Oryctolagus cuniculus: one gene and its partners. The protein of the gene in region 5 interacts with the protein of the main gene of each other region in a pairwise test. Links are inferred from orthologs where the notes say so. Each region holds a gene or a part of one and is shown on either strand. Other genes may lie near its edges. The genes, in order: retrotransposon Gag-like protein 8B, TMUB2, MIEF2, NGLY1, UBQLN1, TRIM32 and SRGN.

Region 1 (3,250 bases), on a different chromosome or scaffold from region 5:
GTGTCAATTTGTTAAGTCAACAACAGGAGTCACTGTGCACTTACTCCTCATGTAGGATCTCTGTCCTTAATGTGTTGTCCAATGTGAAGTAATGCTATAACTAGTACTGAAACAGTATTTTACACTTTGTGTTTCTGTGTGGGTGCAAACTGATGAAATCTTTACTTAATATATACTAAATCGATCTTCTGTATATAAAGATAATTGAAAATGAATCTTGATGTGAATGGACTGGGAGAGGGAGCGGGAGATGGGAGGGGTGCGAGTGGGAGGGAAATTATGGGGGAGGGAAGCCATTGTAATCCATAAACTGTACTTTGGAAATTTATATTTACTAAATAAAAAAAGAAAAATAGATAGGTTGAATGTTTAGTGTTTTTCTGACTATCCTTCAAGGCACTTCTGGTACTTCAGTGGTCTATATAGATCTACCAACAGTTAAAGAGACTATGCTGCAAACTGAAGCTAAATGGAAGCATTATTCTCCCTTCTACTGCTTTTATAGTCATTTATGTATCTCCTAACTCTAACGTTCAAACGTCTGGTCTGGTCGACAGGCCCCGTTTAGGGCAAAGGAAGTTTTCTGGAAACTCCATCCTAGTCACCTTCTCCAGCAAAGCTGTTTTTAAATCAGGACCGGCTCCACATGCCTGCACAGGAACATCTGTGCTCCTGTCCCTTCCCTCATGCTCCCTCTCCCTTCTACAGCATTGCCACTGTCGTTACACACACATGCATTTTCCACGTCCTTGAAATAGTCCAGAACTGCTGACGTGCTGTGCAAGGAGCACAGTATGAAATTTAGGGGAAAAACAGGTGTTGAAGGGATAATAGGTGTCTCGTGTTTCATAATTCGTGGCAGGATTGTGCCATAGACAAGTGATTGAACTAGGTAAATCACACACCGAATTTTACTGCAGGAAATTAAGGTATTTATTTGCATTCAACCCTCCGTACAGTAGCTGCTCAGGGTGTAATTACTTTGCGCTAGTACTTGGGGTTGGCCTGTAATGTTGCAGAGTCAACACCTCTCTGGCTGAGACACACGACCGAGTTGCACCATGTGTTCAGAGACCCTCCCTCAAAAGGCAGCCAGAGCCCAGATCCGCAAAGGGATGCGCAAGGGCGCGGAGTGAGGGAGGACGAAGGGCGACGCCCCCGGACTCGCTAACTTCCCCAAGTGGAACCAGAAGCTGTCCAAGAGCAGCAGACCCCAGCCTCGCCACACGCATCTGGGGTGTCGCGTTCCTCCGCGGCTCCCCGCCTTTCGCCCGCCGCCCGCCGCCCGCCTGGGACCGCCCCCTCCCGCCTCCAACTCCGCCTCCTCCAGGGCTGGCCACGCCCCCGGCCGCCCCTATCCCGCCCCCTGCCGCGCCTCCCTCTCCCCCCGCCGCTGCTGGCTCCCGACACGCGCCTGCGCCGTGCCGACCGCTCGGCCTGGTGGGCGGGCCCGCGCGCCGCCCGCAGCCCGGCGCGTGACTCCGCCCACACCCGCCCCTCCCCGGGCCCGCCTCCGCGACGAGTCCTCGCCGCGACGCCCGAGCGCAGCCTTCCGCGCAGCCCCGCCAGCCAGCTCGGCGCGATGGACAATCGCATGCGGCTCGTGAAGGCCCTGCTGGCCCGGCCGCTGCGGCCCGCGGCGCGTCGCTGGAGGAACCCGATCCCCTTTCCCGAGACGTTTGACGGCGACACCGACCGGCTGCCGGAGTTCATCGTGCAGACGGGCTCCTACATGTTCGTGGACGAGAAGACGTTCTCCAGCGACGCGCTCAAGGTGACGTTCCTCATCACCCGCCTCACGGGGCCCGCCCTGCAGTGGGTGATCCCCTACATCAAGAAGGACAGTCCCCTCCTCAGTGATTACCGGGGCTTTCTGGCCGAGATGAAGCGCGTCTTTGGCTGGGAGGAGGACGAGGACTTCTAGGCCGCCGGAGCCTCGGGCCCGGGGCCGGCTGCCCTGGGGAGGGTGGGCTGCCCGCCGGCCGCCGCCAGGGTCGCCGCGGGCGGCCCCCGCCGCGCTCGCGCCCGAGTCGAGTCCCGCCGCCCCCCTGCTCCCCGAGTCGCCGCGGCGTCCCCTCGCCCCCGCCCGCCCGCCCGCGTCGTGCTTGCCTTTGTTCCAGGAATAGCGCTCCAGGCTGGCGCTGCTGCCTCTGGGCCTGGCTCTGGACAGCGCCGCCGCCCTGCCCGCTGCCGCCGGCCCGGCCTGTGCCCTGCACCGGGGGCCGCCGTCCGGCCCTCGGGCTGCAGGCTGGGCCCCCGCCGCGCGGCCGACGACCAACCACGCACCGCCGGCCGCCCCCCGCCAGCCCGCATCGCTCTGCCCACGCACCTGCGCCGCCGCCGCCGCCGCCGCCGCCGCCCCCGGCCTCCCGCCGACAGACTGCTCTTCTGAGCCACCTGGACTCCCCTCCGAGGGGTCTGGGCTGGCCGCGGCCCTCGGACCCCGACTCCGACAGCCGGCTGCCCGGCGGGGCCAGCCGGCCTCCCACCATGAGTGAGGCCGCGCCCCCTCCTCCCAGAGACACCTTGAGGGTCTGGGCGCTGAATCGCGCCTGTCACGTCCTCCCGTGGACATGACAGTAGTTCTCCCCGCCCCCCCGAGTCCCGGTTCTTCCGAACGTGCAGCTGTCTCTCTGATGTGTGCCTTGTGTCCCACACTATGACCCTGTGGTCTTCGCGGCTCTTTTACACTACCTGTACAGAAGTCTTTCCATTCTTTCAATAAATGTCAGACCCTGTCCAATAAGAAACTGCGTTCACTGAGTGTGCCACCTTTCCCTCCGTGCTCCTACAAAGCGGGTCTGTATCTTGTTCAGAAACCGCATGACCTGTTTCAGTGTTTCTTTGGACCATCCTAAATCAAGATTCCACTCCTGCCGTGGTCCTGGGGATGGAGAACCTACCACTGAGCATTCTGTCGCTGGTGCTGAATCCTATAATGCTATTAGAAATGTTTCATAGCTCTTTGGAAATGAATCTTTACTTCTCTTTTTTTCCCCTAGGTGATTTGAGAATTCATCCATAAGGGTTCATTGAAATGATTTCCTTATTTCTCAAAAGTTATTTGAAAGCCCAAGTCTCAAATTGTTATAAAATATAAAATTTATACACTCATTGTTTCTAAGCAGCTGTGAAAGTTTTATTTACTCTGATTTTTTTTATTTTCATTTTCAAATCCCAAGAAACATTTTGAACATTTTCTTAGTTTCCAGTGATGCTGTGCACTTCTGCAAATTCCCAAGGGATCACC
Region 2 (3,929 bases), on a different chromosome or scaffold from region 5:
CACGGAAGGAAAGACAAAGGTGAGGGGTGGGAGGGCGGCCAGGGAACTGAAGGAAGCATGCCCCCCACCCTTGGTAGGGGCTGTGCCTCACGCCTCCCTGCTGCTCCCCACCGTCCCCCACCAAGGGCTGGGAGCCTCCCGCTTTCCAGCCCACTCACCTCTTCAGAGCACCCACAGTGTCCTCGGGCCTGGCCACAGCCAGCTCCTCGGTGTCATTGAGGAATTTGAGCCGCACATGGATGAGGCCGGGGCTGGCAGGGATGCAGGTGCTAGCCTCGGAGCGCAGGGGGGCCTCAGGCCCGCTGCCCTCTCTGCCTGCTTGTCTCTTGGGCAGGCCTTGGATGTCCAAGAGATGCTCCAGGCTGGGCTCGGCACCGCCTCCAGCCCCCGACTCCCCTGTGGCGTGTCCCCCACCTTCGCCGGCCTCTTCAGCCTTCTCATCATTACCCTCTGATGGAGGGGGGAGTTCGCTGGGCTCTGGGGCTCCTTGGCCTGCTACCAGGTGGTCCACGTGCCCCAGGTGGAGGACAGATGTATCGCCTGCTGACACGATAGTGCCCAGGAGCTGGCTGCTGCCACTGTCTGCTACATAGGTAGAGAGCCAGGCTAGGACCAAAGCGAGAATCAGCACCACCACACCGGCCACCACCATCACCTCATTGCCCACACCCTCAATGAGGGTGACATCAGAGAGCTCCATGGTCCGGCTGCCGACGGGGTCCGGGCTGCAAGAACAAAGAGGGGCGGCATCAGTGGAGCCCGAGGAGCTGTGACCAGGTTTCTAGCTTGTCTGGGCTTTCACTGACCCAGCCCTGACTGCAAATGGAGTTCAGTGGAGAAGGGAGGCACAAAGCTTCCTAACTCTGGACCCCAAACTGAAAGCCAAGGCCTTACCCTTTGCCACGATTGTGAAACTCTCAGGTTGCACACCCTTCCTCCCACATTCCAACCTCCCCACCAGCAGATCCCCGGCAAGACCTCCTCTGCGTGTCGTTGCTGCCACTGTTTGCTGTTCTGAAACATTTATTTCAAAGGCAGAGTGCAGAGAGGTCCTCCATCTGCAGGGTCACTTCCCACGTGGCCGCAGCTGCCAGGGGCTGGGCCAGGCCAAAGCCAGGAGCCTGAACTCCATCCAGGTTTCCCATACGGAACTCAAGTCCTGGGCCATCCTCCGCTGCTTCCCAGGTCCCTTAGCAGGGAGCTGCAGCAGAAGCGGAGCAGCCGGGACACAGACCCGTGCTCCGACACAGGACGGCGATGTCCGACTGGCGGCCGCATACCCAGGCTCCACAGCACCCGCCTGCACGGCTGCTACTTTTTAGTGAATGGGGAGAAACATTCGCTTCTTTGAGCGCAGTTCTTAGACTTTCCAACACTCGGTCAAGCAAGTATGTCCCCTAAGCAACCTCCAAGGCAGCTGTAGAGAAACCAAGAAATCCGAAAAGTTTTATCTTAAGGCCTCTTCGGAGGCCCTGTGCGGCCAGCCTTGCAGATCTGAGCCCCTTCTCCCTCACGGTCGCAGATCCAGGCCCGGCTGTCAAGACCTAAGGAAAATGAACCTCTCATCGAAGCAGTCACACCTCCCCAGAGGCCACCGGAGGGGCCACCAGGGGCTCACAAGCACCACACGCACTCCCCAGGTGAACCGCCTCGGGAAGGATTCCACGCCGGCTCTCCCAGGCCCTCTCAGCTCTCCCTGGGCCGCGGCGTTGACCCTGCGCGCTTCCTCCGAGAACCTGCTGCGCTCACAGCCGCCCCTGGGCAAGTCCAGGCCGGCGGTCACCAGCATCGGGCTGTCCTCACCGCACCTGCGCAACTTCCTCACACGGCTCTAGCTGTCCGGCTCTCTACCCGATCCAGGAGACAAGGAGGACTGCGCGCCTGGGGAACCTACCAACCTCGGCCTCACCCGCCACGCCGGCCCTGCCCCTGCGGCCGGGGAGAAAGCAAACACAGAGCAACCCATCACAACGCCCGCCCGCCTGCCTCTTCCTGGCGGCGGACAACTTTCTCAGAGCCTCGGTAAAACGGGGTTAAAAATAGCACCTACCTCGGCCGGTCGTTTGGAAGATGACGTGAAATCACCCAAGCAAACTACCTAGCGCGCTGCCCGGCACATTGCAGCCGTTCAAGTGGCAGCCATCAGGTTACCACTGCCCCGACCAAGCCCTCACGGCAGGCGCGGTAATGGCATGAGCCGCGCTTTACAGAAAAGGGTGGCGGCGAAGCGACCGAAACGGCTGGTTGGACACCGGGACCCCAGCCCGCCCGCCCCCCGGGCCTTCGCCCTCTCAGCCCGTCGGCGCGCTGAGTGAGGAGGGTCCGCCTCCCCGTCTGTCCGAGCCGCAGGCTCCGCGTCTGGGCGGTCCTGCTCCCGCAACGCTGGCGCGGGGGCTGCCGGGTTCCGGTCACGGCGCCCAAGCCCAGCTCTCCTAGGCCCCGAGGGGCAGGATCAGGTGAGGGGGTCACAAACCATCCACACCCCTCAAACTTCGGGGCGGGGCTGCTGGACCGGGGGTGGGGCTTGAGGGCGCGAGGAGTCATGGGAAAATTAAAGGGGGCTTGGACTGGTACTGTGCTCGGATGGGGAAGGAGGTCCTCACCTGAAAAGTCCAGACTAAATAGTTTTACCTTCTCCAGGACGGCCCCTGGCCTCGTCTTTCCGTAGGGACCGGGGGAGGGGCTGGCAATCCTCGACTCGGTCCACAGTCCAGTCTCTTCCGGCTTCTCCCGGAAGCTGTTAGAACCACAGATAGGAAGTCCCGCCTCCGCGCCTTGCACTGATGACGCACGTCTACGTAAGGCGAGCTGACGTAAACGTATTCTTTAAATAAAAGGGACAGGATTCTCAGCGGAAGAAGGGGCGGAGTCATTGTTGGCGGGATCGCGGCCCTCCGGGCTCAAGGCCACGCCTGGTGGGCGGGGCCTCAGGCCGACCGGGGTGAGAGGCGGGGCCGGGGGGAGGTGCTCGGGGCGGGGCGTGGCTTCGTGGCCGTGGAACTTTGCCCAGGCTGGCTCCCCCGGCCGGAGCCTGAAAGAGGCCGCCCACTCTGCGGCCTGTTTCTTCAGGCCTTGCTCCCTGGCTCCCAGGCTGAAGGGATTCTTTACCGCCCTGGGCCGCGGACTGAGCTCCAAGTCCCCGGAATCAGTGAGGACCTCCTCGGCTCTGGGCTGGTAGGGCAGATGGAGGGGCCAGGTTAGGCAGTGCGCGAAGATGGCAGCTCCAGGTGGCGTGGAGCCTGGGTAAATACGGCGGGAAAGCGTTTCAGAGAGGCAGGGATTCATCGCAGCCTCGGGGCACGAGAAAAGGAGCCAGAGAGACGGGAGAAAAAGCTCAGCTCCCCAGCACTTACCTAAGGGTTTGTGTTTTTAATGAGCTGTTGATTAAAGTATAAATAATGCAGCCGGGGCAATCCTAAGTGCAGGGCTCGGTGGTTTGCACCGGCTGAACTCTCGGCCAGAACGAGCCTGCAGAAGCAGCAAAGGAAATGACCCCAGAACCAGCTCCCTTCAGACCTCGTCTAGCCACTGAAGTCCGTCATAGGTTAGTTTTCCTGATTTTGCACTTTATATAAAAGGAATCCGGGGCCGGTCGTGGCGCAGCGGGCTAAACCACCAAGTGGGACACCAACATCCGCTGCTCCACGTCCCATCCAGCTCTCCGCTATGGCCTGGGAAAGCAGTGGAGGACGGCCCACGTGCCTGGGCCCCTGCACCCACGTGGGAGACCCGGAAGAAGCTCCAGGCTCCTGGCTTCAGCCTGGGCCAGCCCTGGCCATTGTGTCTGTTTGAGGAGTGAACCAGCAGATGAAATGTATCTTTTGATGTCTCCCTAGCTCTGCCTTTCAAAAAATGATAAAATAAATATTTAAAACAAAAGGAGAAGGGATACAGTGTTGACATAGCAGGTAAAGCTGCCACCTGCGATG
Region 3 (4,023 bases), on a different chromosome or scaffold from region 5:
GCCTGCAGGAAGCGCTCCCCCAGGGCCGCCTCGGTCCAGTCCACGTCCTGCTCCCCCGCCCGCAGGACCACCTGCGTCAGGGGCCCCCGGCCCAGGCGGGCCAGGGCGGGGTGGCCACGGCAGACGCCACATAGCAGCAGCAGCAGCCGCCGCCGGCTGCCGGCGTCCTGCTCATCCAGGGCCCGCAGTCGGGCAGCCTCCTTGGGGTACAGGTCGTGCAGCCAGAGGTTCCCAGCCAGCCCCTCCAGGGGCCAGGCCAGGAGCTGGCAGTCGGCGCCCGTGCCGGCCCCGGCGACGGCCAGGAGCACAGCCACGGTGAGCTCCAGGCGTTCGTGCCGCACCTCCAGCAGCAGCTCCTCCGAGGCCACGCTGGGCCGGATCAGGCACCCGAGCAGCCCGCTGATGGCCGGCCAGTTGACGGAGGCGGTGAGCGCCTTGCGCAGCAGACCCAGCAGGAGGCGGGAGGACAGGTAGCCGCCCACCAGGAAGCGGTCCCAGGGGCTGCTGCCGCGGGGGCGGAACTCCAGCTGAGTCCTGCGCACGGCCCAGCAGCGAGGGTCCCTGGCCACGGTGTCCACGCCGGGCACCAGGCTCCAGAGGCCCGGCTCCAGCGCCAGCGGCACCGAGAGGCGCACGTGGTCCTGGTCGGCGGCCCCGGCCTGCAGCCCGTCGTAGAGCGGCCCGCCGGGCACGAGGGCCCCAAAGGGCAGCTCGGGAAACTTGTTCCGCAGGTAGGCCTGCAGCTCCAGGGCGATGTCGCCGGCCAGCTGCTTGGCCAAGGCCACCTGGGCCTCGGGGATGGCCACGTGGGCCTGCTCGAATGCCAGCAGCTTCTCCTGGAAGGTCAGGCACAGCGGGGCCGGGGGGCTGAGCAGAGGCGGCGGCTGGGGACCGGCGTCCGCGGGCCCCTCTGCAGAGGCAAGGGGGACACGTCAGAGCAGCCCACAATGCACTGCGGGAACCCGACCGCATCCCAGCACCCTGGCCACACAGCTCCAACAGCCTGAGCAGGGACCCGGGCGCAGGCTCCGGCTCACCTGGCGTGGAGGGGGCAGGGGGCCGGCGTGGCTCGGGCAGGCTGAGGGCGGCAGGTGGGGGCCGGGGCTGCTGGTGCGGCGTGGCCTTGAGCAGGCTCAGCTCCGTCCAGCCGTCCCCCTTGGCGTCATCCTCGTCCCGGGGGCCGGTGGCCCTGTCGATGAGCTGCGGGCAGAGCGGCGCTGAGCAGGGCACCTGGCGGCCGGCAGCCATGACCAAGCCCCAGCCCCCGCCAGCCCGGCCTTACCCGCTTCACGGCCAGTGTGGCAATGCCCAGCACAGCCGCGCCGCCCACACCCAGCACCAGGCGGGCGTTGGCCAGGAGGAAGTCCACGGCGCCGCCCAGGCCCTCGCCGCCACGCCGCTTCCCCCGCTTCTGGGAGAACTCCGCCATGGTCCACCTGCAGGGGAGCCGGGGGCGCGGGGTAGCTGCGGGGTGGGGGTGGGGCGGGGAGGGCACCTGGCTGGGCAGGCACAGGGGCTCTGGGGTCCACAAGGAGGAGCTTCTGGAAGATTCCTCGTGAGTCAGGGGCTGCTAGCAGGGCTTCCTGCACGGAGCCGGGGGAGCAGCCACGACCCCTCCCCAAACCGGCCAATAACCCAGCCCCTGGCAAAGGGGGCTCACACGGAGGCCCCTGGCAGAGGGTCCGGGCTGCCAGGAGCCATCATGTAGAAGGGCATTGAGCAGGGAACTCCAAAGATGAAGACCCCAAAGAGAGGGCCCCCTGGCTGTGGCCGGCTCAGCACAAGGTCAGGGTAGGGGATGGGGGGGCAGGGCCTCCTGGCTGTGGCCGGCTCCTCAAGAGGTCGGGGCGGGGTCGGGGGGTGGGGGTTGGCTGCAGGATGCTAAGCCAGATGCAGGCCTGGAGCCACAGCCCAGCTGGTAGGAGGTGAGCAGTGCCCGAGTGGAGGCAGAGAAGGCCCACGCCCACCCTGACCTCGGGCCCTGAGGGTGCAGGGGACGGGTGGCCAAGGGCACCCGGGAGCCTCAGCGTTGGACGGCGAGGTCACGGCCCGCCCTCCTGCTGCGCCCTGGGTGCCCTGCCCCCCCACTGCCCGGGGCAGCTGGAGCCCGAAGCTCTGTGTGACTCAGCCCGGGACACCTGCCTCTTAGCGCCAGACTAAAAATAAGACGGGGCTCCGGCGTCCTGGGGGAGGTCACGGGCCAGCCGGCTGACCCCCGCGGCCCCGGCCACGGACCAGCGCTGCCATCGGCCCCCAGGCCTCCACGCTGCCAAGTGCGTAAAGCACTTGAAATGCCCACCCCTCCAGCGCACGCGCACCTGCCCCAGCGAGGGCTCCGTGCCACCTAAGGGGTGGGGGGCGCGCAGGAACCGAGCAGTTAAAAATAACCCGCAAGCCGCCGGCGCTGGGCCCGGGCTTACCAGGCCGGCGCGGCAGTCCCTCGGTGGGCCGGTTCACAGGCGAGGACAACGGAGGCCTTGGGAAACCCAGTCAAGCACCCGAGCCGGGAACGGCAGGGCCGGGACTCGAACTCGGGGCTCACAGGAATCCTCCCGGGCCCCGCCCCCGGACGTGCGCCACACCTAGGGCTGGGGGACCCGGGATGCGGGTTGTCGGGGAGGCCCCGCCGGGCTCCCAGCCGTACCTGCGTCGCGGCGTCCACACACCGACCGGACCACGCAGCGGGCCCGCCGGGACCCGGCGCCGGAACCCGCCTGCGGATGGAACGTGAAGGACCCGGGCCCCGAAGGCCGAGGCGCTGGCGTAGGCAGACGAGCAGGCCCTAGCTCCAATCGGAGCGCTCGGCTTCTTCAGGGGCGTTCCAAAACACTGCGAGGTTCGGCCAATGAGGGGCCTGCCACGCCCCTTCTCCGCCCTGCGCGCTCCCTCGGAGGCGGGGCTTTCCGGGGGCACTCCGGATTTAAAGGCGCAGGGCTGCATTATTGGGCCCGCAACGTTTGCGTGGTGCCTGCTTGGAGCCCACAGAGGCGCGGGGGATGCGTGCGCGTGTGCGTGTGTGATGTGAGCCTCCCGCGTGGAGGAAGCTGGCTGGGCCCCAGTTTCCTTCCTCTGGCCGGGCAGACGGGTGGTAGCACCTGGTCCAAAGGCCTGCACGCCGACCCCTAAGTCACCTTTGCGGGAGCGCCTTAGCACCTGTCTGCGCGCGGGGTAGGGGGTGTGCCGCCGGCCCCGTGCGTCCCTGGGCCTGCCCTCTGTCCGCCTGGGCCTCAGTTTCCCGTGCCGTACAATGGGGACGTAGGCAGCGCCCCTGGGAAGGGTGGTTTGCATGCGGGCCTTAATGAGAACCACCTGCCACGCACCAAGCACCTGCTGCGTGCTTCGAGCCGCACGTGCGCGCGTGGTCACTCGCTGCCGGCCACCACCTTGGTAGGGTGAGGAAGGTGGGGCCGCCCCGGCTCCGCACGGAGACCGCCGGGGACCCCTTGTGCGCGGACGCAGAGTGCGAGGCCCCCAGAGCGCAAGGCCCCCGGGCCCCGGCGAGGTCCCCAGAGCGCAAGGCCCAGGGCCCCGGCGAGGTCCCCAGAGCGCAAGGCCCCGGGCCCCGGCGAGGTCCCCAGAGCGCAAGGCCCAGGGCCCCGGCGAGGTCCCCAGAGCGCAAGGCCCCGGGCCCCGGCGAGGTCCCCAGAGCGCAAGGCCCAGGGCCCCGGCGAGGTCCCCAGAGCGCAAGGCCCCGGGCCCCGGCGAGGCCCGAGGTGCCGGCGGCGGCGGGCGCGGGCGGGTTAACGGGGCGGAGTCGGCGCTGGCCCAGCCCGCGGCTCCCGAGCCGCCCCCAGCGCCCGGCCGGCCCGGCAGCGAGAGCGGCGCCGCCATGGAGGCCACCGGGGTGCTGCCGTTCGTGCGCGGCGTGGACCTCAGCGGCAACGACTTCAAGGTGAGCGGCGATCCGGGCTCGGCGCGGGCACCACCTCGCCCGCCTCCGGCCACACTGCGGGCGGCGGCCGGGGCTCTGCGGGCCTCCCCACCGCAGCCCGCAGCCGGCACCCCGGGCCTCCGCCCAGCGTC
Region 4 (4,037 bases), on a different chromosome or scaffold from region 5:
ACTATAGCTCTACTCCATGCATCCAGTGATTAGAACTGCCAATTCCTGCCTATACTGCCTGTCTCCAATCCATCTGCATTTATGAGTATATAATAGCTTTACAACTGGAATCAATGTCATGTGTCTTACTACTATTCTGCATGAAGCATTCTCATTTTATGCTTCTCTTTGACCTTAGAAACTGTGATCTTGGAGATCATGTCAGATATACAGTCTCTGCTACTCCACCAACTGGTCCTATCTCATCAAACTTCTATTCTCAAAACTGTACCATGTCAGGTCCTCTTGCTATCTCCTCACATAAACACGCATGCACTTAAATACTCTCATGGAATTGTCCATAGAGGACATGACGTTGCCCCTTTTCATAACTGTGTGTTTTTACAAAACAGATTTATATTCTTTGGATAAATAAGCCACTTTTCCATTGCTGGCTCTTCCCTATCACTAGCCAGTGCAGTTTATCATCAATAATTGTGTGCAGTGTACAAAGGAAATTAGTGAAAAATCAGGATATCTTTTAAAGAATAAATGGAACAAATGCTCTACAAACCCCTATAGAATGTCAATGAAACTGCTACAAATTTTGGGGAAAGTAGATACCATAGAGGACAGGTCATTTTATCTAAGAGTCAGTGAACAGAAAAAAAGGTTCAAATCCATGACATATTATGCCTGCAAATTAGCACGTATTTTATTCTATAATTACACTGATGGCTATCAGTTGGAGGATAGGCTAAATATCATCCAAAGCATACATTTAAAACTGAACCAAAAGTATTACTTTTGAGATTCAGTGTGTACAGTGACAAGTACTGGTGCTTAATAAAAACCTGATGAAATTCTCACTTCAGCACTCATTCTAGGAAACTGTATGTCATTTCCTGAGGTAAGAGCAAGGGACAGCAAACCAAAACCCTTTACACAATCCCTTACCTCTAATGCTAGATTGCCCCGAACAGCGTGGGGAACAGACAATCTTGAGCTTCTGTATTTTGCAGTTAGCTCAGCAGATCTGTAAGGTCAAGTGGTGGGAGACGCGGAGGGGATCTGAGGCTTTCCTGTAGGAAGCTGGCAAGCCTCCACATCCCCACCCGCTGTCTCACTGTCCCCCAGCCTGAAGGGGTTTGAACTCTGAGAATATGACGTTAGGGACACTATCAGCTAAGAAAAACTAAAAAGTGCAGTTTTCAATACCATCTCCAATTATCTGAGTTCCAAATTCATAATTCCCCTTTTAGATAGAAACTCTTGAACATCAGAATCAAGCCACAGTAAAGACAGTACATGGACTGATTCCATACCAAGAATCTTTCAGTTTACCAAACATTCAAAATGATTACCATGCACACAGTCATTCGCATGCAAAGGTTTCCTTCCGCAAAACACCCTGGTTCCACTGGCCGGGAAGCAGGAGTGAATCCTCATCACAAGGCCACCCGCCTTCTCTGAACAGCAGGGTTAAAACAGTTTGATGGCTGGCTTTCCAGGCTGGAAGACCAAGCTGATGGCCTCGGGAGAACACAGCCTATAAATTCGCTCACAGCAGCCACGGGCACCTGCGAACTCGGAAGGGCCGTATGGCCTCCAAGGGTAGGCAAGGTGAGTTGAGAAGGTGTCACAGAGAAGGAGGGTGGTCCTCACCTAGGTCACAATTCTCTGGCTGTGAACAGTCCACGTGCTGCATCTCTCACAGCTCCTGGCACATAATAAGGGGGTAACAGCTTGTCCCTTCAGTGTACTTTCAAAATCATTAACTTTACCTAAATAAACAATGCTGCTGCCATGGGTTTAAAAACTGCACTTGCAATTGCTCTAAAAATTGGGTCACATAGTGCCTACAGCCTTGAAAGTGAACTTTTAGACTTCATGCCAATCCACACACCGCTTAGAAGAGGAAGACGCGCCAGAACCTGCACAAGTGTGACCCAAGAGGGAACTCCATGGAAGCACCTGGAACTCCAGTCCCTTCCCCTAAAGCCATGTCCCTCCTGAAGACACACGGCCTGATTTGAAGAGTTGGGAGTGGCGGGGGTGGAGCATGACAATAATCAACCTTGCCTGACAATTCCCCCAACGGGTAAGGTCTCCTCCAAGGTGACAACCTTCACTAATTCTTAAAGGATCGCACTGCAAAGTGGACTCTAGATATTAATATATAAAGTGTAACTGAAGCACCATGGTTAATATTGCAACCAACAAACATGGGCAGAAAAAAAAAAAAAAAGCCCAAACCATGTGAAGCCCACCCCTTCCTAAACAGGAGCAGAAAGTAGTCCTGAGACGTTCAATCGGTCGCGGACCGCGCTGTGACAAGCGGCTGCACCTGCCAGCCACGCCGCTGGCACCGCCGCCCGGGCACTGAACACAGGCGAACCCCAGGCCGAGGCGCGGCGGGTCACCTGGGCGGCCGCCAGCAAACGCCCGGTCACACCTGCGAAGGCACTCGCTCTTCTCACGGCGCTGCGGCCTGGCCGGCGGAGCTGGAAGCTGAGCCGGGGCCACCCTCGGGCCCGGGCCCCTCCGGGCCTCGCCGCCTGCGCGCGGCCGGGGTCGGCGCCCCTCAGCCCCGGGCCGAGCAGGCGCCGCGGCCCACCCGCCCCGGCCCCCCGCCGGCCCTGCGGCCCCACACCTGAGGATGTTATCGGCGTAGGTGAGCAGCAGCTTGGAGGCCTCCAGAAAGGTCTCTGGGGTGTTCTGGCAGAGCTCGGCCACGGCCGGGGACGCCGAGCCCGAGGAGCCGCCCGGCGCCGCCGCCGCCGCCGCCGCCGCCGCCGCCATGCCCGAGCGCGCGCGTCCCGCACTGAGCAGGCGCCTCCGCGGCGCGGCCGCCGCCGCCGCTGCCCGCTAGGGGCGGTGTCCGGCCGGGGCGGGGGCGGGGCGCGGGCCGGAGGGACGGCGGTGTCCGGCCGGGGCGGGGTCGCGGGGCTCCTCGGGCGGGGCGGGGGCCGGAGGGACGGCGATGTCCGGCCGGGGCGGGGGCCTGCGGGGCGGGGGCGGGGCGCGGGCCGGAGGGACGGCGGTGTCCGGCCGGGGCGGGGGCCTGCGGGCGGGGGCGGGGCGCGGGCCGGAGGGACTGCGGTGTCCGGCCGGGGCGGGGCCTGCGGGGCGCGGGCCGGAGGGACGGCGGTGTCCGGCCGGGGCGGGGGTCGCGGGGCTCCTCAGGAGGGGCGGGGGCCTGCAGGGCCGGGGAGGGGGGTGGGAGGGGCTCGGGCCGGAGGGACGGCGGTGTCCGGCCGGGGCGGGGGCGCGGGGCTCCTCGGGAGGGGCGGGGGCCTGCGGGGCGGGGGAGGGGCGGGGGCCGGAGGGACGGCGGTGTCCGGCCGGGGCGGGGGCCTGCGGGGCGGGGGCGGGGCGCGGGCCGGAGGGACGGCGGTGTCCGGCTGGGGCGGGGGCCTGCGGGGCGGGGGGCGGGCCGGAGGGACGGCGGTGTCCGGCCGGGGCGGGGGCGCGGGGCTCCTCGGGCGGGGCGCGGGCTGGAGGGATGGCGGTGTCTGGCCGGGGCGGGGGCCTGCGGGCGGGGGCGGGGGCGGGGCGCGGGCCGGAGGGACGGCGGTGTCCGGCCGGGTCGGGGGGCGCGGAGTGCAGGTGTGGGCTGCGTCCGAGAGGGTCCGGGGAACTCGGCTTCCTCAGCGCCGAGTGCCAGCCGCCGGGACCCGGCCGCGAAGGTGGAGAGGCCGCTTCTGGTTCCTTGTCGTCACCACCAATAAAACACTGTTATGGCCTCTGTGCCCAGGCGGTGCTAGACAGATAGTAGCCATGGATGAAAAAGACCCCCAGAAGGAACGACCCCGGAAGGAACGAGCAACAGCCGTCCAAAAAAAAAGGAGCTTGGCCGTCAGCCCTGACGGGTTCCTGGTTATGCAGATTCTGAAGTCGGTTAAGTCCCGGCTCAGATAATAGGATTCAGTAAAGGAGTGTTTTGTAAACTTCAGGAGCCACGCGTCAGTGGGATGTGGTGGCCAGCATGAAACACATCCACAATAATAGTAGGATGTGGGGGGAGGGCCAGAGAATCAACATTTGCATCCCACACA
Region 5 (4,053 bases):
AGCACAGCCCAGGCTGTCATGGGCATCTGGGGAGTGAATCAGCGGACGGAAAACCCCTCTAACTCTGCCTTTCAAATAAATAAATCTTTAAAATTAAAAAAAAAAAAAAAAAAGTGGGGGGGGTGGGATCCCATAGTAGCATGACTATATGGACAATAAAAAAAAAAAAAAAAAGACCGCAGGAGCAGCTGAAAGAAACATCCCCCAGTCCAGTGCACCCTTGTCAATCTTACTACCACTTTTATAGTAAGAAATCATGCCTTTGTCAAAGTCAAATAAATAACTGGTCAGATATCAATGAAGCAAGTGGAGCCCAAACTGCCTCCACCATACAGTGTACTAACATTTTATTTAGGGAAGCCTGAAAATCTACTAAAGGATAATCAAAACATCAAGCTGGGGTAAATAGACGGCAATAAGCCTTTTTAAAGACATGGTTAGAGATAATAAATTGAAGGTTATCTTTTTCCTTCTACAAAAGAGGCAAGACAAACCAAGTGTAAAAGCTAGAGATTTATTGTTATTTTGTGATTAATAAATCATCAAATTGGTTATGACACTGTCCCACACTGTCCCACCATTCACCATACACAAGCTTTTAAACCAGACTGAGGCATAAGGCAAAAAGAGCAAAGACACATGAATCCCTTCCTCTGCAACCTCCTCTCGTCATGCCTCCGCCGGACCGTCACGCATGCGCTCCTCCTGGGGGAAGCATCAGAACAGTGCATGGACTGGTGGGCAACCCGGCATCCTAACCTTTTCAAATAGCAAGCAACTTATCAAAGTAATGGAATTCAACTTGTAGTTTCCTTGATTTTATTGGTCTGACTCATTTTAGTTTAACATTTTAATTTTCTGTAACTGTACATGAGATAATATAATGACCTAAGAGAATACTGAACCAGAGTCAGCCAAATATATTACTGACCCTGAAGTTATGTTTTAATTGGTCCTAAAGGAATGTACCACCCCGACAGTTTGAGAGTTAGGCAAACAGAACTTCTGTGGGGAGGGAAGAAAATGGCTATAGAACAGCCAAATGTATTCGACATTGTTAAAACGGCTCTTTGTTGTTCACCCCTGAATACTTCATTACTACACTATATGCACAGAAATCCTAACAGAATCTTGGTTGCCAGTATTACTTAGGCTGGCCCAATCCAGGATAGACTCCGCCACCCCACCCCCACCCCACTCCCCTTTCTCTGAGGCTCTGAAAAGCACAATATTTAACTATTTCTTAATAGAACTACCCAAACACTTCAGAAACAAGTGGCTCACAAATCATTTTAAATTCATGTATTGCCTGTGCATGAGAAAACTGATAAACCAAAAGATAGTCCTATTTGTATATGGCAATTAAAAATAACTGAAACATCAAGACACTTTCAGTGAAAGCAACATTTCAATTACAAATTGTAATGCCTGCTAAACTACCTATGGGCGAAGCTGAAAAGTCCTAGGCAAATGCATTTGTGGGTATACTACAGTGCTCCTTCAGTCTGCACAAAGAGTAAGATAATTTACAGTCACTCTGTGAATGCTGAGACAATGTTACATGATGTTGTCTGTACAATTAAATGTCCTTGAACAGACAGCCAAAATCAGCTTTTCTATTATAGTTTCCAATGAACCTGACTAACCGGCACTTTTGCTGAGAGATGTTTACCAAAGATGCTGTAAGATTCTATACAACTGGGAAATACTCAGCTTTCAGAGCATTTCCTATTCTTACTTTTGTGATTACAGGTGTTTGGGTCAAATACTGCAGTTTGTTTCTAGAAAGGTGCATTCTCTGTGTTGTATACAAATAAAGCAAAAATCATCAGGAGTATAAATCTTACAGCATTCTGTTTGCAAAAATACATGCCAAAGTCACAATAAGCAATATTGTACCACAAATTATAGAGCGCAAATGATTTGCTTCTTTTTAATGCTTTTATTCTACATAAATTACTACCATAGGCTAATGTTTAAAAAGCAAATAAACTGGACAGATGCAGGACCAAAATCAGTTCACCCAACTATAAAAGGTGATGTTTTAAAAAAATTACAATAAATGCAGAAGTGTTTGATGCATGCAGTAGCCTTAAATGAAAAAGCATTGATTCCCACGGTTCCAAAAAAGAAAAACACAGAAAAACCCACACATCTTACTGAACTCCACCTTAAAATCAATCATATTGGGTTTGTTTATAACAGCACAGAATTCCAAGAGTCAAAATGAAATAAAGCAGGTATTTTAAAGATTTAAGAGCCGTTATCAAAAATAAATTACATTTTTTCAAGATACAGAAATGCTGCTATGACGGCTGGGAGCCCAGTAACCTTTCAATAGCTGCGTTGATGTCACCTCCTGTTGCTATTAGCGCCTGCAAGTTTGCTTCACGGTTCAAAAATCCCATTGCACTGAGTTGTTCCAGTTGTTGCTGAAATCTGACTTCTGGATTCTGTAGCTGTTAAAGAAGGAAAATGAATCAAATTCTAAGGGAAATCAGTCCATGTCAGACACAAATGACTTTTTAAAACTTAACTGCTCTTTTATAACATATGTCGGTTTGTTCAGTTTTAAAACGCTCTTTTCTCTTGAAACACCTCCAACGTATACAAATGTACATTAGCACTTTATTTTGTTGCTTTTGAAAAATCTATCTGAAAAGCAGGAAGAGACCAATCAATCAAATGGATTGATATTCCATCAGCTGGTTCACTCCTGAAATGCCAATAGCTAAAGCCGGATCAGGCCAAAATAGGAGCCAGAAACTGAATCCACATGTCCCATATAGGTGGAAGGGACCCAAGTACTTGAACCATTAACCGCTGCCTTCCCAGGGTGTGCATTAGCACAGAGTAGAGCCAAGACTTGAATCTCAGATACGGGATATGGGTGTCCAAAGTTTCATATTGACCACTACGCCAAATGCTCGCCTCTACTTTGTTATTTTAAATGGTCTAGTTTATACCTAAACAATAACCAGTTAGGTCATACAACTGATGTAAAAAAAAAAAACTTCAACCATTACTTTACATGCTCATGAACATGCAGAAAAACTTGGACATTTATATGTAAATTCAGAGTTCCCACTGACCAGTGTCCTAGAGCAGGCGTTTAGTCTAGAAGTTAAGACGCTTGTGTCCCACGCTGGGAATACCTGGGTTCAACCCCTTGCTCCTGATTCCAGCTTCCTATTATTGCAGACTTGGGAGGCACAATGATGGCTCAGGCAATTAAGTTCCTACTACCTATGAGTCGCTGGCTCCCAGTTCTGACAATGGTCCAGCCCAGCTGTCATATTTGGTGAGGGAACCAGCAGATGGGAGCGCACTCATGCTCACCTATAGAATTTTAAAGTTCCAATGAGGCTCAGAATGTGGATTACATTTCTGAACCAGCCATCCAACCTACAGCCTCAAAACTATACTCTTAATCCTAACGACTCAGCTGCGTCACATCTTTCTTCAGAAATGAGGCTTGTAAAGTCTGGGGGCAACCACCTTTGTATAATGGTACATTATAAACGATTATTCTAAAGATAATAAACGTTTACAATGCAAGAATATTGGGGAGAGTCTATATTTTTAGCTTTATTTGTGAGGTATATATATGTAACACAAGTTACTACAGGTGGGCAGTGCTGCGGTTACATGGAGTGAGGTAAGCAGGATTGTTTTTCAAAGTCTAAATACAAAGACTACATATGTCCAGGATGTGCTCAAGATAATCAAGTTTCTACTCTTCTCTGACAAACTTTCATTAAACAATATTCAATTCAAATGGATTTTCCAACAGGAACTTCAAAAATTAATAATTTTAAAATGCAACTTCAAAAATTACATTCCTTGTAGCATTTCTTCAAGTACAAAAATGTTTTGTTTCGTGTCTGATATAGCACCAAAGTCAACTTTTGTAACATTTATTTTTAATTTCAACTTTTTTTTTAAAGATTTATTTATTTGAAAGGCAGTTAGAGAGAGAGAGGGCTTCCATCTGCTGGTCTACTTCCCAGATGGCTGCGATGGCTGGGGATAGGCCAGGCCAAAACCAGGAGC
Region 6 (4,189 bases), about 86 Mb from region 5:
CCAGCCATAGCAGTCATTTGGGGGGTGAACCAACAGAAGGAAGACCTTTCTCTCTGTCTCTCTCTCTCACTGTCTAACTCTGCCTGTCAAAAAAAAAAAAAAAAAAAAAAAAAAAGTGACAAGACAAGTACTTGTCCAAAGTCACAGAAAATTAGCAGAGTAAGGAGTCTGGACTTCTAGCCTCTGATTCCCAGATGGACTGAATTCCCACTATACATTTTCCCAAGCACTGTATGTGGGTATTTTAGTTATGTCTCTTGCCCTGGACCCAGTCCAGCTTTGTTTCTGAGCTGGCTTCAGCAATGCTGTAGGTAGTCCTAAAGCTATACCAGGGGAAAGAAACTTAAAAGAGATCACTCATAACAGTAATTATTTTCCTGCAGGAGGGCTGCCTTAAGCCTCAGTACCTGCTGGAAGGTGTTTTTGTCAAGTCCAAGTCAGTGGCCTCCATACCTCAGACTCTGGTTCCCTGTACATCCATCCTGCTACCTTCAAGTTCCTCTCCCTATCTACCCACTGGTCATGGTCTAAAAGCAAACCAAGTACAAAGATTAGGGATCCTCCATACCTAATCAGAGATAGTTTAGCCTCATCCGTTACCACCCTACCTTTAGAATTCAATTTGATATGCAGTGTACTCACTGGGCAATCTTCCTTTTTAGTAGTGGGGAATGGGCCAAGTAAGTAAGACTAAGCAGGCCCACACAAGGAAGAAAGAAGCAAAGAGAAAATGTACAGTTACAGAGATCTGGATGTTAGTTTAACTTTTACCCAGTCTAGCTAAAAAACCTTAAGTAAGCCACTTCTTAAGTCTTAGTTCCTTCATATGTAAAACTTATATTCAGGAAACTGTTATTAAAACTAAGGAAATGTATACACAAACCAAAAACTACTGAATTCTAAGCACTTACTATGTACTTCACACTATGTATACCTTCACTGAATCTTCAATATATGATGACATAGGTCCTGTTATACTCATTTTACAGACCAAGAGCCAAGGCACTGGGAGGTTAAGGTATTCACTCAAGACCACACAGTTAAGAGATACAGCCAGGATTTGAACGCAGAATATTGACTACAGAACAGTCACTCAGTTTTAGCACTATTAACATTTTGGCCTGGATAATTCTGTTGGGGGCTGTCCCATGCATTATCAGATGTTAACAGCATCCCCAGTGTCTACCCACTACTGACCATCCCAGCTGTGACAAAGATGTCTCCAGACATTGCCAAATGTCCCCTGGGGACAAAACTGCCCCTCATGAAGACTACTTCTTTAGAGTCTAGCAAAGGACCAAAAGTTCAATATAAAAGAGTTTTCCTTTTATTGTTTCTCTCCCATTCCAAACAGTTCTTTTGCAAAGCCACTGCCTCTTCAAGCTATAATGGACCTTACACAGGATGAATTCCACTCATTTCCCTGGAGTTTTCATATTGTCATTCACAACTTGGGGATACAAGGAAAGGAAAGCTTAGGCACATGACCTTGTCATTTTCTGCTTCATCACCCCTTTGATCACTCTTCTTCCTACCAATGTTAGCAAGTCAAAGTAGAGATAGTGGCAGCACCATGCCTGCCTCATCAGGGAACTCTGGCTAATAACTGAGGAAAATTCTGCCCCTCACAAGAAAAGTAAAAGCACCTTCATGACCTACGAAGGCTCATGACTGTTCCTCAATTTCATACATTTATATAATTTCTTTTGGACGCTCAGGTGCCCAGAACACCCTCTGCTTCCCGTGCAGGGAGTTTAGGAAAAAAAAAAAAAATCCTTCAGTAGCCCAACACCAGCCCACAAATCTACTCAAAGTCTTTTAATTCATGACATCGCCTCTCACCCCTCCCCCCTTTCAATCCTCTTAAAACCCTGTTCCCAACCATCTTGCTATACAGAATTGCAACCTTTTGGGCTCTATATTGCAACCCGCACCGATTCTTCCTTCCTGTGCCCCATATCCCCCTGACAGTCTTTAATCCGTGTTTCCAAAGCTCTGGAGCCTTCAGCCCTGCACCCCGATTTCTGTCATCGTTTCACCTGAATCTCATCTCCTGCATTCCACCAGGCACTGTGCGGTCCCCAAACCCCGCTACGTTCTTTCTTACCTAAATCTTGTCTCTTGTGTTGCTTTCAAACCTTAGCCTAGCCCCCTTCCTTTTGCTAACAAGATACTGCTTGTCCCCAAGAACTCACCTCCTCCATTTCCCCCAGATAGCGCTCTGCAAATTCCTTTCTCTTTAGCAGTTAGGTTCGCCCTACACCTTCTCCTTCCAATCTTAGATCTTGGCCCCCGCCCGGTTCCCTCAAATCTCCTGAGATCCTCAAATCTCACCAGGGCCCTGTGTCCTTCCTGTTTTTGCAATTCTACACCCAGACCCCTCCAGCACCTCAGATTCCCTCCCATTTATCAGACGTTGCACCCCCTGTCTCCTCAAGGGTCCCACATTACCTCATATCTCCCGAGATGCTGCAACTGCGAATCTTCTCAGAGCCCCTGGCTCCCCTCCCCCAGCTAGCTACATCTCCTCGCAACTCCTCACCCCCACCGAATTTCTCCCGAGACTGCCCCTCACAGCCCCACCCCCACCCAGGTTTTGCCCTCAGATCCGGTACCCACACCCTGCCAGTTGGCTGCGGGCCTCCAACGCGGCCGCTCAGCCACCGCCCGCGACTCAGACCACGATCCTTCCTCCCCCTACCCTCCTTCCCGCCCCCTACCTGACCGCCCGCGCCTCCGACGCGTCCGCCGCCGGCAGCCCACCGCTCGCCGGTTTCTGCGCACGCGCGGCGCGTGCTACTCTTGTGAGGCAGCAATTCGCAGAGCGACCTGTCCGTCATTTCGCCCCCACCTCCCCCGGGGCATGCTGGGATTTGTGGTCCAGCCAGTGCGAGCGCCCGGGCTGGGTATATCCTCCGTGACTAGCTCTTTACCGAAAAACGGTGGCACTTAGCAACTCAAAATACTTTTCTGGTGTCTTTGAATGGGTTAGAAAGCTGAGGCCCACGGGCGAAAGGCGCCTTCCCAAGTTCACTCAACTATTTGGGAGCTAAGCCAGAACTCACTTGTTTGATTCCAGTCTCAAAGTCTAAACCTCTGCACTAAACCATGCCCTGCATGAGTGGTCCTCTGCAAAGCCTTTGCACTCCTCAGAAAGGCCTTTCTGAACCTCGGTTGCCTCATCTGAAAAATGGACAAAGAAAGACTAAAACTTGCATTCTGCGCAAGCACAGAACCTGCCCACCTCAGAGTGCAGCGCCCCGGGCAAACCTCTGACTCACCGCACCAGCTGCTGGAGGAAGTTTTACCTAATCAGATTATTCTCGGTAAAACCTTTTGCCTCTCCAGCCTACAGCACAGGTTGTCCCTGCAGACTGAAGCTACCTAGGAGCCCAAATCAGAGTCTAGCTTTTGCGGGGTGGGGAGACTTACCAGGTGGTCTGTGGTCCCCTCTACTGGAGTGACCTATAGTCCCTGAGGTCACGACTGTACTGGGTAGTTTAGGAGCACAAAGGAGTGTGAAGTAGGATAGGATTGCATTTGAAATTCCACTTAGCTGTGTTACCCTGAACAATGATAAAACAGCAAACAAAAATGGTACCAAAACATCTTGGAGCACTTCTTGTCTGCCTGCATCTGACATACCTGGCTCCTTTAATACTTATAAGGATTTTCTGAGATAGGCAGTTGATGCCTAGGTGATTCAATAGCAAAGCCACTTGTTCCTAAGTTTCAGAGCCCAGATTTGAATACAATTCAGAAACCACTTTTTTTTTTTTAATTATTTACTAGAAAGACAAGAGTGATGGAGGGACAGAAAGATCTCCCATCTGCTGGGTCACTTGCTACATGGTAACAACCAAAGGCAGAAGCCTAGACCTCTATGAGGGTCTCCTATGTGGGCGTCAGCGACCTGAGTACTTGAGCCACCTCCTCTGCCTTTCCAGGCACACTGGCAGGGAACTGGATCAGAGGCAGAGCAGCAAGGACTCAAAATAGGTGCTCTGATGTAGGATGCTAGCGGACCAAGCAGTGGCTTAGCTCACTGCACCACAATACTGGCCCCTGAGAATCCACCTTTTTCTTTCTTTCTTTCTTTCTTTCTTTCTTTCTTTCTTTCTTTCTTTCTTTCTTTCTTTCTTTCTTTCTTTCTTTCTTTCTCTTCCTTTCTTCCTTTCTTCCTTTCTTC
Region 7 (3,996 bases), on a different chromosome or scaffold from region 5:
CGTGGGAGACCCAGAAGAAGCTCCTGGCTCCTGGCTCCTGGCTCCTGGCTTCGGATTGGCGCAGCTCCGGCCATTGCGGCCATCTGGGGAATGAACCAGCAGATGGAAGACTTCTCTCTCTCTTTGTCTCTACCTCTCTCTGTAACTCTGTCTTTAAAATAAATAAAAATAAATCTTAAAAAAAAAAAAAAAAAGCCTCGGCCTGCAGCACCAACATTAGTGTCAGTTCAAGTCCTGGCTGCCCCACTTCTTATCCAGCTCCCTGCTAATGTGCCTGGGAAAGCAGCAGAGGATGGCCAATACCTTGGCCCCTACACCCCTGTGGGAGACCTGGAGGAAGCTTCTGGCTCCTGGCTTCAGATCAGCTCAGCTCTGGCCATTAAGGCTATTCAGGGAGTGAACCAGTAAATGGAAGACCTCTCTCTCTCTCTCTCTCTGTCTCTTCCGCTCTCCATAACTGTCTTTCAAATAAATAAAACAAATGTTTAAAAAAAAAGTAAAGTGGGGACTTGAACCCAAGCACTCCAGTACAGGGTGTGGGAGTCACAAGTAGCATCCAAGCACTGTGCCAAATGCACCCCCCGCCTCACAGCTCCTGAGCTTGTTGGAACACATGACCATTAGGGAACTGTTACATCAAGTTGAAGATTTCCCCTAGAAGACCCAGGTAAAGCCAGTTCCCTACATTCAAGGATGTTTTATTTCAAATATAAATCAATTAATGGAAAAGTTTCAGGAACATTACTTGCTGTTTTTCATCGTTATGAGAAAATAATTCTATAACTTTCCAATATATGTGGAACATCTCTGAGTTCATCTGTAAGATCTCATTTCCCCCGGAAGTAAGAGCATGACAGCTCGTAGTCACTTTGAAGACGCATATCCAGCACTTATGTGTCACTGTGACTCAACGTTTCCCCTTTCCACTTGGGGAACTTCTTATTTTCTACCATAAATTCTGCCATCTATTGATCAGGCCACGGCCTTGTGTAGACATGATTCCAAAGAAGAAGACATCACGTTTCTTATAAACTGGTCATTTTCATCTTCTTAGTCACCAATGGTTTCAGGTTGTTCCAGTCTAAGCAAACCACCCCCAGATGACGGAGAAACCCAAGAAGACACTGCCGAGTGTGATGCTTCTCTGAGTAACAGCACAAATACTTCCATCTTTTGGCCTCTCGTTAAAATCTGATAGGGTTTGCATTAACTATGTCTAACCACAATTGAATTTTCAGTAGTGACCAAGTTCTAAAAGAAAAAAAGTACACATGGTCAAATGTACCCCAATTTTGAAAACTAGCCTCTCCTAGTGTTAAAATAACAATAGCACCACAATGCACTAAACCCCCGAGGGGGGGCAGAGAGCAAATCTCCAAACACCCACAGGTGCTATCTCCAGACAGCAGACGTATGGACCACTTCTCATATCTCTTTCCTGGGTTTTTATGTATAAACCACACATATTAACCCAAAAATAACACAGCACACTGCAACCATTGCAAGAGTCCACAAGGCTGCACCTGCCTCAGCATTGCATTTTTCTTGGTACCAAACTTAATAGAACTCACACTAAGGAGTTCACCACTCCTACCCACCTTTGCCTCATGTTCCACACCACTATCCCTTCTGTACCCTGAAGGGACAGAAATTATTTGCGTGACCAAAGAAGACTCTAGGGGATCCAGACTCCCAGGTCTTACCTTGGACTGAAGAATCCAAAGTGAGGATGAGGCCGAGCGCCAGGACAAGCCCACTGCAGGTGAGGAGCTTCTGCATCGTGACCAGCTCAAGCCAACTCACGATTAGGAAATGCAGCAGGGTGCTGGCTGTCCCTTTTAGAGAGGGTTCCAAAACCTCAAACCCTGCCCAGAACTCACGTCACAATTTCCTGAACAAATAGAAAGAGATCCACATCAAAACCCAGAAAGCCAGAGAGAAAGAAAGGCCACGAAATCACAATTCATACCCATTATGAAACTGCCCTGGACTCTCCCCAGACCTACTTTTTCCGAAGCTTTGTTGTCTGCTACTCGCCTGTTGACATTTTTTTCCCATCAAAACAGTAGCATCAGCATTCAGGGTGGTCTGTTTCTGCTTCCCCGGGCACCGCTGTGAACTACAGGTGGCTCACACCCAGAGTCCCCTGCGGGACCAAGAGACCCTGCAAGGCGCTGCCTCTTGCTCGCTGAGCGCTTTTCCGTCTAAAATGTTCTGCCTATGCTTTTTCACCCGAGAGTAACAGAAGTCACTGGGCCAAGCTTGAGAAGCAACACCGCACGGCTAAGTTCTCATCCTCAAGAGCAAGTGGTCAGAGCTGAGAGAAACAGCTTCCCCTCCTTGGGCTCACTTGCTCCCGCTGGTGCCCGGTTCTCCCTCCACCTCAAGAACTGAGTGAGGATGTTCCTTCACAAAAGCTGAGCCAAACAGAAACCCTGCTTTGCAGCTCTCTGCTCTGGGACATCCAGTGTTTCCTACAATTGTGTTCCAGTTCTACACTCAGCTTTGCCCCTGGAAGAAATGTCCACCTGGATCTTTGGATCCTCTGGCCCTGCAGAAGCCAGAAGCAGGGAGCAAGGGGCGTGGGTGTCCTCTTAGGCGTAAGCTGCTGAGGTGTGAGCACACACAGACCCTTGTCCCCTGTAACTAATGTTTCCCGCGACCCTGGGGGTGGCGTGTGGATTTCTGTTGGACTGCGGCTCCGCAGGACAGTCCCACAACAGATGCGACAGTTTATCACACATGACCCCGGGCATACAATTTTCCTTACATCTTCTCAAGAGTCAGCCACGCTGCCCCCACCCGGCTGTCCCTGTGGCTCCTGCGCTTGCCCCACACTCCCCCACATCCTCACCCTTGCTTCTCCTCTGATAGGAGGGCGGAGTTTCCCTTCCCTTGTTCTCCGCTTCCTTCACCATTTCCTGCTGAGGACAAGGACAGGGGCCCAGAGTCTAACGGAGGAACAGCTCTGCACAGCTCTGCTGTGAGAACACAAGCGTGTGTCCAGATGCCCTGCAGAAGGCCCTCCGGAGCCAGCTGCAACCCAGACTCTGCCCAGGGACCACCACCCAAACTCACAAAGCCGGCAGGCTCCGCGCTATGGGAGATTGGGGTCAGCTGGGAATATGCGGCTTCCTCTTTGGTCTCTTTTCATCCTAGCCCCCAGATTAAAACTTTGGCACCCAAACAAAAGCTCCTGCCAATGGCTTCAAGAAGTTTCCTGCACACTCGCCGAGCTGATCAGAGCTTATGCTGGATCAAGGAGGGGTCTGCATACTTCATTTTCCCCTCTGGGTCGTGATGATTTCTCAAACACGTTTTCAGTGTTCATAAGCACTTGTTCTTTTCCCATCACATTGACAACCAAGTCCTTTTTCCCAATAGTCTTCCTCCGGCCTCACTGCCCTGGTCTTGAAGCTACACAGGAGCAGGATTAAGACATGCAACAGTCAGCAGTCCTGGGTCTTTGCAGCCTAGAAATGTTTGGGTGTGTGGAGGGAAATGTTAATGTAATCTTCCTCCTTTTTATAGTAGTGAGTTTGGCAACGACGTTGGATCTCTCACTGCTCATCCTCACTGGCTGGTGCTCGTCAGCCACACAGCATCAGGACTTACAAGAAATGGGGCTGATGCTATCTTGAGCTCATTTATTTTGACTGTGATTTACTTGAGTGGAGGCATTGTTTTTAAGGAAAAAACATTGTCATGTAGGTTGTCTAAAAATAAAACACATTTAAACTAAAAAAAAAAAAAAAAAAAAAAAAACACCTTAAAAATTAAGTCCTGGGTCCAAACCCATGTCCTTCACTAGCCAGCCAAGGAGTGCTGACCACTCACTCTCCATGCCTCCATCGGTCAGGTTCTGATACTGTCGGCAACCAACGAAGGGTTGGCCACAAAAGCACTAACATGGCACACGCTGTAGGGAAGGGTCCCATCTTCCTGCCCAAAGATTCCTCCAGTTAACCAAAGAGGATCTGTACTCTAAACTTCCAG

The links.
Region 1: the proteins of UBQLN1 (region 5) and retrotransposon Gag-like protein 8B interact in binary tests that used the Homo sapiens proteins (3 or more experiments, as listed by UniProt). The two-hybrid records come from large-scale screens. The link is inferred for Oryctolagus cuniculus from reciprocal best matches to the Homo sapiens genes UBQLN1 and RTL8B.
Region 2: the proteins of UBQLN1 (region 5) and TMUB2 interact in binary tests that used the Homo sapiens proteins (3 or more experiments, as listed by UniProt). The link is inferred for Oryctolagus cuniculus from reciprocal best matches to the Homo sapiens genes UBQLN1 and TMUB2.
Region 3: the proteins of UBQLN1 (region 5) and MIEF2 interact in binary tests that used the Homo sapiens proteins (3 or more experiments, as listed by UniProt). The two-hybrid records come from large-scale screens. The link is inferred for Oryctolagus cuniculus from reciprocal best matches to the Homo sapiens genes UBQLN1 and MIEF2.
Region 4: the proteins of UBQLN1 (region 5) and NGLY1 interact in binary tests that used the Homo sapiens proteins (3 or more experiments, as listed by UniProt). The two-hybrid records come from large-scale screens. The link is inferred for Oryctolagus cuniculus from reciprocal best matches to the Homo sapiens genes UBQLN1 and NGLY1.
Region 6: the proteins of UBQLN1 (region 5) and TRIM32 interact in binary tests that used the Homo sapiens proteins (3 or more experiments, as listed by UniProt). The two-hybrid records come from large-scale screens. The link is inferred for Oryctolagus cuniculus from reciprocal best matches to the Homo sapiens genes UBQLN1 and TRIM32.
Region 7: the proteins of UBQLN1 (region 5) and SRGN interact in binary tests that used the Homo sapiens proteins (3 or more experiments, as listed by UniProt). The two-hybrid records come from large-scale screens. The link is inferred for Oryctolagus cuniculus from reciprocal best matches to the Homo sapiens genes UBQLN1 and SRGN.

The regions. Positions count from the first base shown.
Region 1 is NC_091453.1:112,833,394-112,836,643, forward strand, and holds retrotransposon Gag-like protein 8B, read left to right. Parts: upstream 1-1,490; 5' UTR 1,491-1,582; coding exon 1,583-1,924; 3' UTR 1,925-2,750; downstream 2,751-3,250.
Region 2 is NC_091448.1:19,069,291-19,073,219, forward strand, and holds the start of TMUB2 (transmembrane and ubiquitin-like domain-containing protein 2), read right to left. Parts: upstream 2,801-3,929; 5' UTR 2,632-2,800; exon of another isoform or gene 2,604-2,631; intron 2,514-2,603; exon of another isoform or gene 2,051-2,513; intron 726-2,050; 5' UTR 701-725; coding exon 159-700; intron 1-158.
Region 3 is NC_091448.1:62,264,245-62,268,267, forward strand, and holds the start of MIEF2 (mitochondrial dynamics protein MID49), read right to left. Parts: upstream 2,801-4,023; 5' UTR 2,645-2,800; exon of another isoform or gene 2,421-2,644; intron 1,437-2,420; 5' UTR 1,430-1,436; coding exon 1,283-1,429; intron 1,201-1,282; coding exon 1,038-1,200; intron 911-1,037; coding exon 1-910. Other genes in the region: FLII (protein flightless-1 homolog), read left to right, coding at 3,830-3,892. UniProt on the Homo sapiens protein: Mitochondrial outer membrane protein involved in the regulation of mitochondrial organization.
Region 4 is NC_091435.1:161,886,322-161,890,358, forward strand, and holds the start of NGLY1 (peptide-N(4)-(N-acetyl-beta-glucosaminyl)asparagine amidase), read right to left. Parts: upstream 2,801-4,037; 5' UTR 2,782-2,800; coding exon 2,633-2,781; intron 1-2,632. UniProt on the Homo sapiens protein: Specifically deglycosylates the denatured form of N-linked glycoproteins in the cytoplasm and assists their proteasome-mediated degradation. Cleaves the beta-aspartyl-glucosamine (GlcNAc) of the glycan and the amide side chain of Asn, converting Asn to Asp.
Region 5 is NC_091432.1:134,602,527-134,606,579, forward strand, and holds the end of UBQLN1 (ubiquilin-1), read right to left. Parts: intron 2,460-4,053; coding exon 2,307-2,459; 3' UTR 501-2,306; downstream 1-500. UniProt on the Homo sapiens protein: Plays an important role in the regulation of different protein degradation mechanisms and pathways including ubiquitin-proteasome system (UPS), autophagy and endoplasmic reticulum-associated protein degradation (ERAD) pathway.
Region 6 is NC_091432.1:220,201,029-220,205,217, reverse strand, and holds the start of TRIM32 (E3 ubiquitin-protein ligase TRIM32), read right to left. Parts: upstream 2,801-4,189; 5' UTR 2,721-2,800; intron 2,582-2,720; exon of another isoform or gene 2,452-2,581; intron 2,305-2,451; exon of another isoform or gene 2,196-2,304; intron 1-2,195. UniProt on the Homo sapiens protein: E3 ubiquitin ligase that plays a role in various biological processes including neural stem cell differentiation, innate immunity, inflammatory resonse and autophagy.
Region 7 is NC_091446.1:60,863,734-60,867,729, reverse strand, and holds the start of SRGN (serglycin), read right to left. Parts: upstream 2,801-3,996; 5' UTR 2,007-2,800; intron 1,892-2,006; 5' UTR 1,780-1,891; coding exon 1,704-1,779; intron 1-1,703. UniProt on the Homo sapiens protein: Plays a role in formation of mast cell secretory granules and mediates storage of various compounds in secretory vesicles. Required for storage of some proteases in both connective tissue and mucosal mast cells and for storage of granzyme B in T-lymphocytes.